Saccharomyces cerevisiae S288C: one gene and its partners. The gene in region 2 interacts genetically with the main gene of each other region. Each region holds a gene or a part of one and is shown on either strand. Other genes may lie near its edges.

Region 1 (2,969 bases), on a different chromosome or scaffold from region 2:
AATGTTAATAAATTCTTGGATTTAAGTAGTGAAATTAGCGAAGGTGGATCCAATTTGTCTCAAGGACAGCGCCAATTGATGTGCCTTGCTAGATCTTTACTGAGGAGTCCAAAGATCATATTGCTGGACGAAGCTACAGCGTCCATCGACTACAGTTCCGATGCGAAGATCCAAGAAACCATAAGAAAAGAGTTCCAAGGTAGTACAATTTTGACAATTGCACATAGGTTGAGATCTGTTATCGATTATGATAAAATTTTGGTGATGGATGCAGGTGAGGTAAAAGAGTATGATCACCCATATTCTTTGTTACTTAACAAACAAAGTGCCTTTTATAGCATGTGTGAGCATAGTGGAGAATTGGATATCCTAATTGAATTGGCTAAAAAAGCCTTTGTGGAAAAATTGAACTCTAAAAAGGACTAGCTGTTTCGATGCTAAAGTATATATATATATATATATATATATATATATATATATATGTATATACGCACACATGTTCACGTACTATAAATTACCTTTTGTAAATTCAACAGCCTCTTTTTCTGGAACTGGAAGAATCCGTTAACTTCAATATTCCAGTCGATGAAACGGTTTAGAATTGCAATTGACCTCAAAATCATTATGTTGCAGTTATCCACCAACTCGGGTAACTTCTTCAACTGTTTCGTTTCAATATTTGCGTCTTTGAAGGAAATCTGATCCAATGAACTTTTACTGATTTGGCAAAACTCCATATATTGGCTGTTTAGTTCGTCAAATGCACTATATAATGTATAAATATCGTCAAAGCAACTAGCAAAAATACAAATATCATCAGGAGCTCCCACGTTCTCGATGTCTTCAGCCATGAAAGTATTAAAGAGTTGCAGGAGATCTTGAGAATACTTTAGACCCTGGAAATATAGACGATGTAACTGATTGTATAGTTCATCTAATTGCACTGAAACATCGGAATTCGCGCTGTATCCGGCGCCTATAAGCCGCTCCAATCGGTCACACCTGTATTCTAAAGCTTCAACAAGCTTAAGACCAGGCATCAAACTTCCTTTGGTAGAGGCTAATGGCCTTGGAAGCTCGAGAGAACATTCTATAAGTTCATCAATCACTTATACTATATGCAGTACCTCTAAATTACCTAATATCCGGGTAATAAGAACAATATTCGGGTGACGCCGCCCCTGTTTGATGACAAAATTGGAAGAAAAAGAGGAAACAAGAAAAGACTGGTTAGCAACTACGTAAACTTCAGATTTCAAAACATACATAAACAAAAAACTAACAAAAGAAGATGTCTAGATCTGGGTATGCTAAATTTCATTTGTACTCCTGTGTAAACTATCAATTACTAACTAATTGACATGATGCTGTTTTATCTCGCTCTCTTATGTCCTTTCTTTCCTCCCTTTTTAACATGGAACTTTAAAAGGAATGTGGGGGAAAAAATTCATAAGAAGCCAGGAAAATGTGAAGTTTCTGTGTAGTGTTGCTGTTGCTGATGAATCCCTTACCGCTTTCAATGACTTGAAATTGGGTAAAAAATACAAATTTATTTTATTCGGATTGAACGATGCTAAAACCGAAATCGTTGTCAAGGAAACCTCTACTGACCCATCTTACGATGCCTTCTTAGAGAAATTGCCAGAAAACGACTGTCTTTACGCCATTTACGATTTTGAATACGAAATTAATGGTAATGAAGGTAAGAGATCCAAGATTGTTTTCTTCACTTGGTCTCCAGACACTGCTCCAGTCAGATCTAAGATGGTCTATGCATCCTCCAAGGATGCCTTAAGAAGAGCCTTAAACGGTGTCTCTACCGATGTTCAAGGTACTGATTTTTCCGAAGTTTCTTACGATTCTGTTTTGGAAAGAGTCAGCAGAGGCGCTGGTTCTCATTAAGGTAAATGATTTCACAAATGACAACAATCTTCAAGAAAAATGAAAATGTATATCTATATATAAAATCGTCATATATATACAGAATACATGTATAGAATTATTATAATTATAATTTTCTCTTCGCAACTCTATCTAAAACACAATACTTAGATTTAAGGTCCCGTACACCCCGGCTAGTGGGCATTGTTTTTGCACCCATATTTGTAATTCTAAATTCAGAACGGAAATACTGGCCATGTAGATCAAGAAAAGATACAAGGTCATCGAACCAGGCAGCAATGATTTTTCTATAATCTTCTAAAGTGAAGCATGACGACCATAGCTCGTTGAATATGCATAGAACGCTTCTGTTTTTAACGTGGCTGATATCTTTAACAAAGGCTTTTAATATAAAATTACCACACACTGAAAAAAAAGACCATTTGGAATCCAACGCTGTGCTGGCATGCGCATCCTATATAAATACTCTGAAGTGGTCATTTGATAGCTCCGTCGTACCGGGTTTCTATTCTACCATATGCTCTTATTCACCAGCGTTTGATACTTGGTCACTTTGTATCTTCAATTCGCTTACAGACCAGATTATTCCCATGGACAACACAAGTTTCGAAGAAAGCTTGGGTAACGTACGAAAAACGTGCTCGTTTGTCGATAAAAAGTTTAGCAATATTTCACTGGAGCAATACTACTCATCTTTAAATAATGCTTCTTCTCACGCTTTGGAAGACTATGGTTCTATTGAAAGTTTATCGACATCCATTCGAGTCGATCGTGAGACAAGATCTAGATGGATACGAGCTTTTCATGCGCATGCCTATAATTTAGATATCAGCAGTGTTTATGGTGCATATTTAACTTACTACTTCGTCATAGTGGGTATTATCGCCGTCTTCTTCCATATGAGTCACTATAACGGCCTGAATCGAGCGCTATTTGCAAGCCGGTTCGTCAATTATATTCGGGGCCATTTTGTGTTGCCTACGTTTTTAGTAGATAAGCACGCTAATCACTTCAAGTTTCTAAACGTGGAAGTCTTTACGGGACTGATGCCGAATTCCTTGGAGGCA
Region 2 (4,083 bases):
TCTCTTAGAAAAGCCATTCATTGGAAAAATGAAATACCGTAAATTTTAATCATCCATTGCAAGATCTTTTATATACTCTGTGCAGTTTTTTCAACTCTAGCCAATTTATCCTGTCGTTGAAATCTAAATCTCTAAGAGCAATTTGAGATTTCGATATACATTCGGAGAAAAATTATTTTTACGCTGACGTTATATTTAAAGTTCGGAACGCATACACATTAAAAATCCTTTTTTCAAAAAACAACAAAAATATTTTAGTATTTTCAAATATTAAAAAAGAAAAATAAATATTTTGTTAGGTAGTCATGTGATTTTTTGTCACGTTTTGTTGAGTTATATTATCTCAAGTGTAGTAAATCGCTTTATTTAACAGTTGTGTTAATTAACTAAGGTTCATAGACAGATTGCACATGGTAATCGAAAGCCTCATATTGAAAGGGCCATCACATCCCTAAATATATTTAGTAGTTTTAAATTATTAATTTTTTTAAGGATACGCTATAAAGGATTACATAATAGAAGATACAATTAAGTAGTACAGCTCAACAGCTACAAGAATTATTTTCTCCATCTAGGCGAATATTGATGGCATCATTATAGTCATCTTCAAAGGCTTCTGTATCAGCTTGATTCTGTTGTAAAGCACTCCTTGCAATTTCTTCAAATGCGGTATCAACGTTTATGGCGTTTTTGGCACTTGTTAAAAACAAAGGAATATCGCCTAATGATTTAGCAAGCTCCTGAGCGGACTTTTCTGATACAATTTTTTTAGATTCTTCGGCATCAATTTTATTTCCCAGTATAACAAATGGAAATGTTTCTGGTGAGTTTACGTTCGCATGCACTAGAAATTCATCTCGCCAAGACTTAATATTCTCAAAGGAACTGGCATTGGTCACATCGTAGACCAAAACGCAACAATCTGCACCTCTATAGAAAGCAACACCCAGTGATTGGAAACGTTCCTGTCCAGCAGTATCCCAAACTTGCATGGTGGCAACTTTATCACCGTCAACTGTCACCTCTTTTGTTAAAAAGTCAGCCCCAATTGTTGCTTTATACTGTTGAGAATACTTATCATTGACATAACGGTGCATCAAGGAGGTCTTCCCAACACCAGAGTCACCTAGGATGATTACTTTCAAAATATTTTTTTTTCTAGAAGACATCACTTAATTTGAATTGATACAGAAGGGGTTTCTATATGGATAAGAAGTGGACTGGATGAGCTTATTCCTCTTATTTTGTTGGTGATTCCCAATGCTGTTCCTCTGTAACGACTGCTTTCAAGATAAAGGTACAGATTAACAAAAGGAACTTCTTCTCTCAGTAGGTCGAAATGCGAAAAGTTAATCCGCGAGATACAAACGTTACCCGTACCGGTGAGTTCTGAGGTTATTCCAATCACTGAAGAATCGTCAGCTATTACAGAGTAAAACAGCTGTCACTCTTTTCGAGTTACGGAGCTGCCCGTATATATATATATATGTAATGATGTTTCTTTCAAACTCTTTATCTCTTATTTTTGGGTAAAAAATTCTATAGAACAAGTGAGAAGAAGGTAAAATATTGCAATGCTCAGTCAATCTTAAACACATTCTTGAAGAACGCTAATGTTGGTTGTGGCAAATGCCACAAGACTACGCTGATCTAAGCACGCCTTCCTGAACTCCATATAATTGCTTAGTTCCTCGGCCAACCTTTCGTGAGCTACAAAAATTTCGCTTCCAAGTTCTTTGAGCATTTTTGAAGAGGCCTTTATCTGAACCGCTAGTCTTTGCTCCGATTGTTCACGCTTCGTTTCAATAAAACCACCAAGTGGAGCACGACTAGAGGTATCTGATGCACTTTTTGGCTTAACCATGTTAGGAAAAGCCTTCCGATAGCTTTTATGTAAAGCTAAAAACTCACCATAATGTTTCCACCAGTTCGGAATTTTTTCAAATAAAATTATCTGAACGAAACTAGATAGTTGGATAGTACATTGTTCCAAGAAACGCACGTTTTCTAGTAGTGCTGCTAGCGATAATTCACTGAACATATTATGATTTGTTATAATCCCCTTAAATGCGCTGGATGCTTCACTATTAATTAATTTTCTACCCATTTCGTTAAGACCCTTATAAGCATCCTCGAAATCATCGGATTTCAAATTAATAAATATTAAGACTTTCCTCAAAATATTCAAGCTTGCCTTAAATGATGAAATCTCATCAAAATTAAAACGTAAAAAGCTTTGTATCATATTAATCTCCTCGGGTTCCATTGTTTTTGGATTTTCTTTTCCTGAGGGTTTCTGGTTTCTTTTAGAAGTGTTTATGCGCATCCAATATAAGATAGAAGCCTCATCAGTGAACAAATTTTCTGGAATTTTTTTCAGGAATAAAAGAACGTTGAAGCAGTTAGTTAATTGGTGAAGTAACGATGTGACATCTGTTTTCCCGATTATTGTTAAATCAGAACGGTTTAAGTGCGATATTTCATCGATATAGGTATTTAATGGCAAAAAGGTGAACGGATTGTCTTTCAGAATTGAGCGTAGTAAGCCTTGAATTGTTTTCATGTTAATAACAGTAGTGGCGAAAGGTTTCTCTGCATTTGAAACGGATGTTATATTTGTTGTCGCATTTAAATTATGATATCGCAAAGAATGAAAATATATTAATCCAAAAAGTGAATCTTTGACACCCCTTTCTCCTATCTTGCTTAGTACCGAGTGATCTTTTGCATAATCAAAACAAGTGAAGAAGGTCGAGTTTTGAACCTTCTCTAATATAAGTCGACGGTCTTTCGTGATGGCGTCAATATTACTTAGTCTTTTGTACTTCACATATACCATTAATGGCGTCAATCCCTTATAATTTTCCTCATTAATATCTAGCTTAGTCAGTTGTAAAAGGATTGGAATGTTTGTTTTCAAAACATGCAACAAGCTATTGCCCTTATTATCGGTGTGGTCTAGATAGTCAAACAAACTGTTGTGCTTTCTATACCAAGTATTTGCGATATCAAATGCGGTCTTCACCATTTCTTCATAATTTGGTTGATCATAACTTCTAAAGATGGAAAATAAAGGCGTTTGTCCACTGGAATTTTTTCGTTTCCAATCAATATAATTTCCGATGCTTTTAAGTATATCCATTTCATGGGTTAGATAATGAGCCACGGTACGTGCATATTTATCTGTTTTATTGATATAAGAAACCAGCTCCTCTTCAGTACAATTGAACAGCATGATCTTTATGAGAACTTTCGCGGCTTCTAAATTTCCTGCTTTTATCGATTCTATAAGCAGCGTAGAACCATCAATCGTTTCGTCCTCTAAAAGGTCTTCTACTGGAAAGTCGTTTTCATATTCAGAAAGAATATCTAATAAGATGTAGTTTTTATGATTTGTTATACATATGGATAGAATGGATTGTCCTTGCTCATTTCTGTAGGTCAAAATATCCTTGTATGTTGCCAGATCTTCTACTTCATTTGTGGGGTTTTCACATGACAACTTATCTAATAAATTCTTAGTTTTTTCACATAATGTGTTAGCTTTCGCCACGTTGCCTGTATTTTTGTTGAAGTCTTCGAAATAACAAACCACTGCTTCCAGTGTGGATACAGCATACCCTAGAATGCCGAATTTTGTAGAAGAAGAGTTATTCGAAAAATTTTGCAAATAGTAAAGATGACTTTTAAGGTGCTTTTGTTCACTTCTGCAAACAACGAGCACAAAAAGGCTAATTAAAGTGTCTGCATCCATCGTCATGTTATTCAATCCGTCTGGTAGTTCTAGTTGATGTGAATCCATTTCGGTAGTACCTGATAATTTCTGTAGAGTTTCAACTAATATTTTAGATTTTTCAGCGTATGAATGGGTCAAAGCCAACTTTTGAAGATGTTTGGACGCTAGATGGAGACGCCTTTCAATAAGAGTGATGTCGTGTAATTTAAATTCCCCATAATCTTTTGAGTAAAAATCTGTCAACAACTGGTTCACTGAAAAATATTTATTTTTTCAGTGTCTACTTCGTGGCCTTTGAAATGTGTAGTAAGCCTAGACCATATATCATCGTAAAGATTTAGTTCAAA
Region 3 (4,463 bases), on a different chromosome or scaffold from region 2:
AATTATGTCGCTACCCTTCAGTTTTGTTGAAAATGATGCTTTTATCGTTAACTTTACTTATCTTTATTGTTTGCAAGATTACTATTAATATTAAAGAGGGTCTAGCAAGGATACTGCGATTGTTTCTAAATATTTCAACTTTCTACGTTATTCATCTTTAGGAAGCTAAAAAGCATTCAAAAGATTACTATGAAGTTAATCTTTAAACATAGTTTGATGAGCGTCTATGCAAATAGAATAACTTCAAAAAATTTTCTATTCCATTTTTGGAAAGCCCCAAAAAGCTATATTCTATAATTTCTGAATCTTATTGTGCTTGTGGAGGTCACCCCAGTTTTCTATAAATTATTATTCAGCTATTATCCCAATACGACTAAAGGTATTGAGATTCACGGATATTTTTTCCCCTGCAACTTTCACAACTGGAGGGCTCTGTTTCTTGATTTTCTTTTTGTCATATAAACATATCTTAGCGCGATTGCTAACAAATAGTATAGATATCATAATTTTTCCTCATCCTGCACACAATTACCTATAGCAGCGTCATTCGCACCGCCCTCCTCATTGGATTTTTTAACTGTATTTCTCGTTTTAGATGAGTCTTCAACATTTCTATCGTTTTCATAAATATCAGTTTTACTGTCGGAATTTTTATTGCTCTCAGGACCACCTTCAATATCTTTATCTGCAACGGTTTCGTCCTCATTAAAATTTTCTGCATTACCCTCAAAATTCTGTTCATTTTCTTTATCATGATCAGTGTTAATGTTCGTAACGTCTGTAAAACCATTGCTAAAATCTTGACTGTCTTCCTTATCGCCATTTTCATCGCCCTCACCGTCATCGCCATTTTCATCGCCCTCACCGTCATCGCCATTTTCATCGCCCTCACCGTCATCGTCATCGTCATCGTCCTCACTATCATCGTCATCACCACCATCATCATCATCATCCTCAGAGTCCTCATCAGTATCATCATCTTCATTGTCCTCACTATTTCCCACCTCTTCACTTTGTTGATCTGTCTCCGCATCAGGTTTATAATGTAAACCCAAGCCCATCATAGCTTTCTGTATCGCGTTCGATGTTTTACTTCTGTTTTTGAGATCTTCTGTGGATTCAGTAACATCTTCATTAGCAGTATTCTTTGGTTTATTGAAATATTCCTTCCATGAATTCCATAAGTTGGCTGCTGGCTTGTCTGTATTCTTTCCAGGATTTACAGAAATTTGGGAAACAGACTTTTTTGACTCGATGCTTTCCTGGTCTTTGATATCCTCCTCGCTTTGATGACCATTTTTATTGCTTGAAGAGTTGCTAGAGCTTCTTTTTAAATTATGAAATGTGGCCAAAAATCGTTGCTGTAATAGAGACAGAGTGTCGGCACCGTTATATATATGCTTCGGAGGAAACAAGTCGAACAATCTATCATCTGTTCTTGAGTTGAATATCAGAAAATTTTGAGTCTCTTTCCAACTCTGAACCCAATTCAAATTGAATAAATGAACGGGATTGGAATTTAGCATATCCTCAGGTATAGTCTTCAAAGCTTGATCATTCTCTTTATGCAGGTCCAAATAATCACTTAATTTAACACTGGAAAGTAACCCCGTTAAATAGTCCTCGAATTGCCACCTAATGAAATCCTCACTGCCTTCAAATTGAGAGTTTTTTGGAGTTTCATCATCATTTTCGTTCCATGTGTCTGATACAATTCCAGATATAGATTCAATCCATTTTTTATCATGACTTGACAATTGGAGGACGGGGTTCAAAGTCTTGTCCAGAATATCTACAGTGGAATTGTCTGTATTGACAAATATGTGGCACAGTTCCTCCTTTTGTTCAGCAAGCAATGTGTTGGAACTTCCAATCATAAAAAACAAAGTACGTTCTGACCGTATGTCATTCATTTGCTGCAGTGGAGTATAGGGTGAAAATAGTCCACCTTTTTCGAAAATCGGTAATGGAAAACCTAAGAATCTCAACACTGATTCTCGATTGCTTGATTTAAACGAGTCCACAACATTTAATTTCGAAATATCCTGAAACAACTGAGGACTGCCAGAATCCTGCAAATTTGACATCAAGTCCGGAATTAAGCTGATCAGACCGAACTGTAAATTACACAAAGCTTCCACGTCGTTGCCGTAAACTATAATTTTTTTTTCAAGCATAATTGCTTTCAATAAGACTAAAGCGTTTCTCTTAAAATCATGTAGTATCTTTCTCAGACATAACCCAATATAAAGACGATTTTCGGCATTTCTGACCAATGATGCAGGCGTGTAAATCGACTTCAGGTTTTCGTATAAAGACTGGATTATCTTCCTGTCCCCAAAATCATGCTGCAAGAAAAAAGCATTAGTCACAATACTAAGTTTGTCCTTGATTTGACCGAAGATTGGTTGCCTTGAGATGACTACAATTGCCTTCTGTACAGTAGATCGTGTTACATCCTTATCTTTAGTGACCAATTCATCACTCTTTATCTGTCTCGAGCAAGATATGGCAAACAAAGTCGTGTTGTCATTGATGCTATCATCACTCAGATCAGTTGCCCCGTTGGGAGGGCTCCTTTGTCTTCTTTCATCATATAGTAATGTGAAATAAGTAAATGTTTCTTCAAACGAGTGAGAACCATCAGGAAGGGCCTGGAAGGGTAAATTTGGCCATAGTTCTGCACTTTGGGTGCCCTCAGGTAAGCCATACCAGTATTCTATTTCAGGGCCTCTTTTGTGATGAAAGTCCACAAGGCAGATACCGAAGATGACTGCTTCCTCGTGTTCATCCATTATTTTGACAACAAGGTTGCAGCGAGGCAGAATGTATATGTTAGTTTGATATGGTCTTCCTGCTTGGATTCCTTTAAGGCTTCAAAATTTTCTTGAAAAGGAAACTTCGTGAATGAGCTGTAAGGATGCTTGATCGGGCCGTACATTCTTATGCAAGATCCATTATTGACTGCTCTCTGTTGGGTTAGCTTCCATATCTTCCGTTACCCGTTCGTATAATCATTACCCGACGGACAAGCATCATTTCAGCGGCTATTTTTGCTAGGCAAACCTCCTAAGCAATGATACTTCTCAAACGTTCAATGGAAGTAATAGAAGTTCAACTTACCCCATTAATAATCCACACATTAGAAGGTTGGGACAATAAAAATAAAAAGCATTAATTAGTGTAAACTTTGCTCCCAAATGCAAGTCTAAGGTAAGTTCTTTGGTTCATGGAGTTTTTGCAGTGTAATCTCACGTGCACTAGACTGAGTAAAGCGAACCTGAGTTCAAGAAATAATGATTCACCTATGACATATAGTCCAACTATACAAGCAATGAACCCTTACGGATTGAAGTCATTCAATGTTCAATGTTTGTTGTAATAAGAAATATTACTAGAAAAAGATTTTTTCTTTCGGCGGCGTTTTCCCGCTTTTCTTAAACAATCTGCAGTTTTAACATCGAATTCACGAATATTTGTTCGCTAAAGAAATAACACAGAAGATGAAATGAAGAACATACATTGAGGGCGACGAATATATATGACTTATAAATACAATTGCTGTGATGATGGATCAGGAACCACCGTTGGTTCAGTGGTACGATTTGATAACGTCACCTTGTTAATCGATCCCGGTTGGAATCCATCTAAAGTATCGTATGAGCAATGCATCAAGTACTGGGAAAAAGTGATACCGGAAATTGATGTAATAATACTATCACAACCAACAATTGAATGTTTAGGTGCTCATTCCCTTCTGTACTATAATTTTACCTCGCATTTCATATCCAGAATTCAAGTTTACGCAACTCTTCCTGTTATCAACTTAGGGAGAGTTTCCACCATAGATTCATATGCATCTGCAGGTGTTATAGGTCCATATGACACAAATAAACTCGATCTTGAAGATATTGAGATATCTTTTGATCATATTGTACCTTTGAAGTACTCGCAATTGGTAGATCTACGATCAAGATACGATGGATTGACTTTACTGGCGTACAATGCTGGTGTGTGTCCAGGTGGTTCTATTTGGTGCATTAGCACATACTCAGAGAAATTGGTTTATGCAAAGCGATGGAACCACACTAGAGATAACATACTAAATGCTGCTTCTATATTGGACGCCACTGGTAAGCCCTTATCAACTTTGATGAGGCCCTCTGCAATAATTACTACTTTGGACAGGTTTGGCTCCTCTCAACCGTTTAAAAAACGTTCAAAAATCTTTAAAGATACATTAAAGAAAGGTTTGAGTTCGGATGGGTCCGTTATAATACCGGTAGATATGAGTGGCAAATTTCTGGACCTGTTCACACAAGTTCATGAGTTATTATTTGAAAGCACAAAGATCAATGCGCACACACAAGTACCTGTACTTATTCTGTCTTACGCGAGAGGAAGAACTCTAACATATGCCAAATCAATGCTCGAGTGGCTGTCCCCTTCACTACTTAAGACAT

Evidence for each region. Genes that interact genetically often act in the same process or in processes that back each other up.
Region 1: mutations in YPT7 (region 2) and LDB18 together harm fitness more than expected from each alone (negative genetic interaction), as found in Saccharomyces cerevisiae (3 studies listed by BioGRID).
Region 3: mutations in YPT7 (region 2) and AVL9 together harm fitness more than expected from each alone (negative genetic interaction), as found in Saccharomyces cerevisiae (3 studies listed by BioGRID).

Annotation. Positions count from the first base shown.
Region 1 is NC_001144.5:38,737-41,705, reverse strand, and holds LDB18 (Ldb18p), read right to left. Parts: upstream 1,041-2,969; coding exon 501-1,040; downstream 1-500. Other genes in the region: bile acid-transporting ATPase YBT1, read left to right, coding at 1-426; COF1 (cofilin), read left to right, coding at 1,292-1,305, 1,485-1,902; FRE6 (putative ferric-chelate reductase), read left to right, coding at 2,235-2,969. UniProt on the Saccharomyces cerevisiae protein: May be involved in protein-linked oligosaccharide phosphorylation since the deletion reduces the negative charge of the cell surface.
Region 2 is NC_001145.3:264,260-268,342, reverse strand, and holds YPT7 (Rab family GTPase YPT7), read right to left. Parts: upstream 1,170-4,083; coding exon 543-1,169; downstream 1-542. Other genes in the region: VRL1 (Vrl1p), read right to left, coding at 1,589-3,802; YML003W (uncharacterized protein), read right to left, coding at 3,988-4,083. UniProt on the Saccharomyces cerevisiae protein: Ypt/Rab-type GTPases are key regulators of membrane trafficking and intracellular vesicular transport.
Region 3 is NC_001144.5:374,444-378,906, forward strand, and holds AVL9 (Avl9p), read right to left. Parts: upstream 2,796-4,463; coding exon 501-2,795; downstream 1-500. Other genes in the region: cleavage polyadenylation factor subunit CFT2, read left to right, coding at 3,542-4,463. UniProt on the Saccharomyces cerevisiae protein: Functions in the late secretory pathway. Required for the generation of secretory vesicles as well as for actin polarization and polarized growth.